Canis lupus familiaris: one gene and its partner. The protein of the gene in region 1 binds, or shares a complex with, the protein of each later gene. Links are inferred from orthologs where the notes say so. Each region holds a gene or a part of one and is shown on either strand. Other genes may lie near its edges.

The links.
Region 2: ARID1B (region 1) and ACTL6B share a complex: the UniProt entries of both Homo sapiens proteins name them as parts of the neuron-specific chromatin remodeling complex. The link is inferred for Canis lupus familiaris from reciprocal best matches to the Homo sapiens genes ARID1B and ACTL6B.

What each region holds. Positions count from the first base shown.
Region 1 is NC_049222.1:47,278,905-47,282,722, forward strand, and holds part of ARID1B (AT-rich interactive domain-containing protein 1B), read left to right. Parts: intron 1-322; coding exon 323-1,106; intron 1,107-3,387; coding exon 3,388-3,518; intron 3,519-3,818. UniProt on the Homo sapiens protein: Involved in transcriptional activation and repression of select genes by chromatin remodeling (alteration of DNA-nucleosome topology).
Region 2 is NC_049227.1:8,991,128-8,994,945, forward strand, and holds part of ACTL6B (actin-like protein 6B), read left to right. Parts: intron 1-662; 5' UTR 663-1,111; coding exon 1,112-1,136; intron 1,137-1,603; coding exon 1,604-1,680; intron 1,681-1,882; coding exon 1,883-2,048; intron 2,049-2,356; coding exon 2,357-2,457; intron 2,458-3,818. UniProt on the Homo sapiens protein: Involved in transcriptional activation and repression of select genes by chromatin remodeling (alteration of DNA-nucleosome topology).

The DNA of each region.
Region 1 (3,818 bases):
AGCTGTGTCCTCCTGTCATGCAGCCTTGGCAAATGCCAAGGGAAGAAATACAGGAAGAAGAGAGAGGAAGCCTTTCTTTCCCCACAGAAAATTTCAAGCCTGTGCAAACAAATTTTGGAAACCCTCTTTGGAGTCCGTGACGTGGCATTATATAATCCTAAAATGGAGTGCATAAATTGTTAGTCCTTAGTTGTTCTAGGAGCTTCCCCATATTCATTTTGAAATGAACATTCCACCAGGTAATAACTGTTTTGCATAATTTAAGTGTGTGATTATACCTGTAAAAGCACATCAGTATGATTTGTCTTTATATGGATTTCAGAATTACAAACGCCATATGGACGGCATGTATGGGCCTCCAGCCAAACGCCACGAGGGAGACATGTACAACATGCAGTATGGCAACCAACAGCAAGAGATGTATAACCAGTATGGGAGCTCTTACTCCGGACCAGACAGGAGGCCCATCCAGGGACAGTATCCATACCCCTACAACAGAGAGAGGATGCAGGGCCCCGGGCAAATACAGCCCCACGGGATCCCGCCTCAGATGATGGGTGGCCCGATGCAGTCGTCCTCCAGCGAGGGGCCTCAGCAGAGCATGTGGGCGACACGCAACGATATGCCTTATCCCTACCAGAACAGGCAAGGCCCCGGCGGCCCCGCCCAGGCACCTCCTTATCCAGGCATGAACCGCACGGATGATATGATGGTACCTGATCAAAGGATAAATCACGAGAGCCAGTGGCCTTCTCACGTCAGCCAACGTCAGCCTTATATGTCCTCTCCCGCCTCCATGCAGCCCATCACGCGCCCACCTCAGTCATCCTACCAGACGCCGCCATCACTGCCAAATCACATCTCCAGAGCCCCCAGCCCCGCCTCCTTCCAGCGCTCCCTGGAGAGCCGCATGTCTCCAAGCAAGTCTCCCTTTCTGCCATCTCTGAAGATGCAGAAGGTTCTGCCCACCGTCCCCACGCCCCAGGTCACAGGGCCGCCCCCCCAGCCACCCCCCATCAGAAGGGAGATCACCTTTCCTCCTGGCTCAGTCGAGGCGTCGCAGCCAGTCTTGAAACAAAGGCGGAAGATTACCTCAAAAGATATCGGTAAGCATTCCAGGCTTTGTCCTGAAATGAATCCCGGTTGTGATCTAGAATTTTAATTTTAGTTTAGATATAGCTCTTGTTAATCTCAAAGGGATCAAATTCTTATGACGACAAACTATCGAGACATGTTTTTGTACAGGAGCAAGAGCTGGAAGCTGCTAATCTGAGTTAAGAAACAGTGCCAAAGAGGAGCATGAATTAAAACAGTATTTTTACACATGAGTGTTATTTGTGTGAGAGAGTAGAGCTCCAAGTGAGAGACCAGGGGATCCTCATGACTATATTTTGTACTGCATTTTGAGCTCAAAGATTTGGTCTCAACCAAGCACTTAATCTCTGCAGTATGAGCTTAACGGCCAAGAGGCTAATGAAATGCTGAGGTGACCTGAAAAAATTTGAAGGTGAGCCACTCTGTCATTTTGGTAACACCATACAGACAGTGAGCTTCCCTGGGGCAAAGTAGAACCCTGCATATGATAAGTAGATAAATATATAGTATGATATACGGAATTTGATATGTTACGTGTAGAAATGACATGACCCCTATAGCACTGGTGGATAGGGGCCAAGGAGCTATTTCAGGTGGATGCTCATGTTTACTCACTCTGTTCAGGATGTTCTGAATACTAGTCAGAGATCTGGAATATCTGGGAGAACTCGGTTTTTCTGCATTATTTTTGAAGTACTTTTAATATAGCAAAGGACATTAGAGACCTTGGTTATATTAAAAAAAAGTTTTTTCAAAAACCTCGAAATCACTCGATTTGAAATCATTTACTACAGTGACTAGGAAATCAAAGCTATTAAAGGTTTTCTTCAGCCTTGGGAACTAAGGACATATACAGGCAGAGAGGGGGAGAGAAGTCAGGACTTGTAGAGAGGGCTGCTGGGGCTGAGAAGAAACACAGACAGACACTGAGCACCATTTTCTATGTTGAAATATATATGTGAGGATATGCGCGTGCGTTTGTGTGTTGATGTGTTTCTATGTGTGCGTACGTTTGAATAAATAAACATATTTAAATTTTTATAAAATTTCTTTGCACACGTAGATCAGCATTTGTCGTGAGCCTGGGGAAATTTATGTTCCTTTTTTTAAAAAGAAAGTTTGCTTTTTCTCTTACAAAAGTATTGCCTCTTAGAAAATATGGAAAGTAGATGAAATTAAAATAGAGGTGGAAACCCACAGCCCCCTCCAGCGGGTGTGATTGCTTGCCGGCGTCTGGTGTGGGCTGTTGCTCTGGTGGGTTCTCATCCCACCGGCCTGCTTACGCCATATGCTCCTGCCGATTTCCTGAGAAAGAAATTTCAGACATACGATGGGCCTCTTCTCTTAGTCCCATCTTATGGCAAATCTTGCAAATGTTTTATCTAATCCTTCTGTCTTCTTCAGGAACAGGAAGGGGGAAAAGAAAAGTAGAGCCCTTCTGTTTCCCATCCCCTGGCTCAGAGCAAGCTGTTGAAAAATCCAAGCCTTCAAAGTGCTAATAATTGTCAACAGCGTGTTCTGAGGGCAGAGGCTCAGATAGAAGAGGACAGCAAGGGAATATCAAGACTGTATATCCCAGAATGTGCTGTTTGGGAATTAAATTTTGCCTATATTCTGCGTATTTGCCAGCCTTCCAAAGATGCCACCCCAAGACATTTGTGAATGAAGCAGGCAAAAGAAGACAAATATCATTTCTTGGCTTGACTCAATTATTAACACTCAGCTGCATCATTACAGAGTCTGTTAGGGGCTAAAGGAAACAAATCAGAGATGAGGAAGGGCCGTTGTGCTTAGCCACTGCCACCTCTAGCAGCATGTTGAGCTCATGTTTAACCAACACATCCAAAGGATCATAAATGATGAAAATTTTTTAGTAAACTGTCACCTCCATTTAAAATATGGAAATGATCACGTTTCACCGTGCCTCAGAACATTTGTTTGAAATCAGTATTTAACTCAACATTCGACTTCTTTTGTTGTTGTTTTTTTTATAATTTTTAAAAAGATTTTATATATTTGAGAGGAAAAAAAAAGCATGCATGAGAGTGAGCTCACGAGCAGTGGGAGGGGTAGAGGGAGAAACCAACTCCCTGCTGAGCAGGGAGCCCAATGTGGAACTCGATCCCAGGACCCTGGGACCAATACCTGAGCCGAAGGCAGACACTTCACCAACTGAGCCACCCAGGCACCCCTACACTCAGCTTCTCTTTCCTTATTCTTCTGTTATTTTCTTCTGTCCTTTCATGCATAGAGTTAATATTAATTATGCCCTGATCTTTCCCCTGGTTTTAGTTACTCCTGAGGCTTGGCGTGTGATGATGTCCCTTAAGTCAGGTCTTCTAGCTGAAAGTACTTGGGCTCTGGACACTATTAACATTCTCCTGTACGATGACAGCACCGTCGCTACCTTCAGTCTCTCCCAGGTAAGCCAGTAACCCATCCATGGGCCCAAGTGGCTTAAGAAAGGGCTGTAGTGCACAGTGTCAGCAAATGTGAGAGGTGATTGGCGCCCCCAGCGGACGTGGCGGTCCCAGAGAATTGAGTTGGGAATAAGTCACTTCACGCTCTAGTATTAGCACACACATACTTGTTTTTATCACAAAGAAACTATCCCCTTGTGTGCACGCACATATGTGCGTGTGCATGTGCGTGTGGAATAGACTGTAGTAAAGGTGAGTTCCTTAGAATGACTGTCAGCAGGCAGGCGGGAGAGAATCCAAATA
Region 2 (3,818 bases), on another chromosome or scaffold:
GTGATCAATGAGCCACCTTAGTCTCTTTCAGAGCGGGCATCTGGTGAGCAGAGAAACTTCTGGGGCATTGGTTGTCACAAGGTATCCTCTTCCTGTGCCATCCATGGTCTTTTTTTCCTTTCCCTTTCCCTTTCCTCTTCTTTTTCTTTCTTTCTTTCCTTTTCTTTCGTGTGTGTGCCAAAACCCGCTATCCATGGTTTTAATGCTTCCCTCACACTCAGCAAATAGGTAAGAGTGCCCTCAAAACAAACATTCACATGCATATACAGACATGCATATGCACATGCACACATCCTGACACGCATAAACGCATACATATAGGCACACATCTACACACATGCTCACATAAGAGTCGCTCAGCTAAGCCAAGCTGTCGGAGCTGCTCCTTCACCTTTGCTATTAAAATTGCTGTGGAGGTGGTGTCAGGCCAGGAAAACAGCTGGGGAGAGATAGATGGGGAAAGGGAGCTGAAGATGGGTTAGCTGAGCACGGGTACACGTGTATATGTATAGGGCCCAGGCACCGGGGACGGGAGAGGAAAAGGGGGCACTAGAAAGACAAGGATAGAAAGAAACAGGGAGAAGATGGAGACACGCCCCCTCCTGTACCTCTCTCCTCCTTCCCTTCTTCCTTTCCCTCCTTCGCCCGGTGATTTCATTCAGACTTGGGTATGGCAGAACCTTGATCAGGAGCCAGAGAATGGACGACTCTCCAGGACTATGGTGCCCTTTTCTCGACCCCATTTAAAAAAAGTAAGAGAGCAGGGGCCCCGTGAGACGTCCTGAGGCGTCCTGGTCTCCAAATGGACAAGGTTTCCATCTCTTGTGTACGTCTGCTCTCTACCTGGCTATCTGTTAGAATCGATCTCGAAGTCCTTGCTATCCTCCCCACAATCTTAAAGTTGCGGTGTCTGCCCCTTTAAAGCAGCAGCCCCGGGTCCGGTTATTGTCTCGCCTTGCAGCCAATCCACGGCGTCATTGGGGGCGGGGGATCCGGCCTCCTGATTGGCTACTGAGCGCCCCGCCCCGCCCGGGATCCCGGGAGCTGTCCGGCCGCCTCGGTGCTGATCCCGTCGCCGCCCACGGGCCGTGAGCAGCGCTAAGAGGGCATTATGAGCGGGGGCGTCTACGGCGGAGGTGAGCTAGCCTCGGGCTTCAGGCTACCCAGCCTGCTGCGGCCTCACCGGCAGCCCTGCACCCCGAACCCGCGCGACCTAAGCTCTGGGCACCCTAGGGCCTGTCACCCCGGCGCTCGAACGGGTCCAGCCCTGGGTTTGGGTCCTGCGCCACTCCTACCTTGGTCCTCCCAGGTCGGTCGTTTGCGCGCACTGGGGTCACTCTCCACCATCCAACTCACCTCCTCCCGGCCCCCTGGCCCCTTCTTTCCCGGCAAGGAGAGTGGCCTGAATAAGGCCACTGGGCAAGAAGGGACTCTGGGGAGGCTTGATCCCCACTCCCAGGACCCCGGACTTCAGGCCGAGCTCCTACTTGCCCCGGCAAGCGTTGAAGGTGGCGAGACTGGCTCTGCCTTGACCTCCTCTCCGAGCTATCCAGGGGGAGAGAGTTTGGGAGAGGTCCCCTCACACACCTGTCTCCCCACACAGATGAGGTGGGGGCGCTGGTCTTTGACATTGGCTCCTTCTCAGTCCGCGCTGGGTACGCTGGGGAGGACTGCCCCAAGGTGAGCCTTCCAGCCCCATCCCCAAGTCCTAGGGCCTCGGACTCCCCTCCAGGCTTCCCAGTGACCCAGGGTTCTCACAACACAGAGAGAAGCTCTGCAGAGCGGGAATGTGGGAGTAAACCCAGGGGCGGGCTGAGGGCCTTGCTATGGGTCTGGATAGGGGCAAGAGGTTGATCCCTCTTCCTGCCCATGCCCCCTCCAGGCTGACTTCCCCACCACGGTGGGGCTGCTGGCCGCGGAGGAGGGGGGCGGGCTGGAGCTGGAGGGGGAGAAAGAGAAGAAAGGGAAGATCTTCCACATCGACACCAACGCCCTGCATGTGCCTCGGGATGGAGCAGAGGTCATGTCGCCCCTCAAGAATGGCATGAGTAAGGAGCCCCCACCCACTGTCTCCCACCACAGACCAGGATCCCACTCACCACAACCCAGGACATATCACCCCACACTTACAGAGTCTATCTTGCAATTGCCCACATCCCAGGAATTCCCTCACAGCTTCCCACAGCTGACTGGTTCCCAGCCCAGGGGCCCAACAGATTCCCAGGAAGGGGGGATTTCTGCTAGAACTGATCTCACTTCCCCTCCCCTGGACTTGGCATCCCTCCTTCCTTTGCTTTCTGTCCCTGGACCCCTGCCGGCCCACCTTCATCTCTCCACGCTGGCCTCCTGGCTCCAGTTGAGGACTGGGAATGCTTCCGCGCCATCCTGGATCACACCTACAGTAAACACGTCAAGTCCGAGCCCAACCTGCATCCAGTGCTCATGTCTGAGGCCCCGGTAAGTGCCTCACCCAAACCCTAGTCCAGCCCCAGGTGCTCCCTACCTCCTTTCTGCCATTCACTTCTCCCTTCTTTTTTTTTTTTTTTTTTTTTCACTTCTCCCTTCTGAAAGCATCTGCCATTGATCACTCCACTTAACTTTTCAGACTTTTCTTCCAACTCCACCATCTTCAAGCACTTTTTTTTTTCCTCCCTGGTTTAGTCTTTATCCCTCTCCATCCTCCTGTTTTATCCATTCATATCTTTTGCCCATTCAGCCTTATCCACTGCTGTTTCTCCCCCTCCCCCCCCCCACCAAAGTCCTTTTGGACTTTTTAACTTAAAATTTTTGTCAATGTTATATATGCACATAACCACTTTGATTTAGAAAATATGTTAAAGAAAAAACGGCCATTCATATCCTCTTCCTTCCATTCCACTTTTCCAGAGGCAACTGCTTTTCATTTAGAGAAGTTTTGTCATATTATTCTATATCTCTAAATATCCCATTCAAATGCTGCTTGTGGATTTTATAGTTTTAGGGATTTATTTCCCACTGTAGAAAATAAATATTGAGGGGTATCTGAGTGTCTCAGTCAGTTGAATGTTGGGACTCTTCATTTTGGCTCAGGCTGTGATCTTAGGGTCATGAGATTGAGCCCTGCATGGGGCTCCATGCTCCATGGGAATCTGCTTGAGATTCTCTCCCTCCCCCTCCCATTCCCCCTCCTTCTCCTTGTACACACTCTCCTCTAAAAAAAGAAAGAAAGAAAAAAAGAAACATTGAGCTCTCTTTCCTCCTCCAGCCCACACCACACACTTCCCTCATTCCTCACCTTTAAGTATAGTTGTATTTTAGATTTCTAAAAAAATTATTATTCAGTATTTACATTCTTGTGTTTATATATGGTAATCAAGCCTCAGGCAGGCAATACTCTGGTCACTTTTCCTTTCCTGCACAGCTCCTTTACATAGAACTGAAAATTGCACTGATTTTTATTTTGCTTAGCTTTCTATTTATTTAATGATATGACCCTAAGTTATTCATCTGCTATTATTTATCTGCTTATGTTATCTATATCCTTTCTCAAACATTAGCTCCATTAGATATTCTATCAATTTGGTCTTTTTGAAGAAATCTCTCCAAAAACCCACTAATTGCTCCACTTTGGACTTGTTGCCTTCTATACAAAAGACATAGCTATCATCCTGACATCTCCCTTCACCATCATCTTAGGGCATCCCCTCACGTCTCTCCCGTAATAGAAGTCCTGTTTCTTGAATCTCATTACTCCTTTTCTTGATGTACTCCCTTGTTTTCATAGAGCACATCCTCCAGTAACTGCCTTATAAAGGTCATGAGAGGTAAAAAATGTTAGG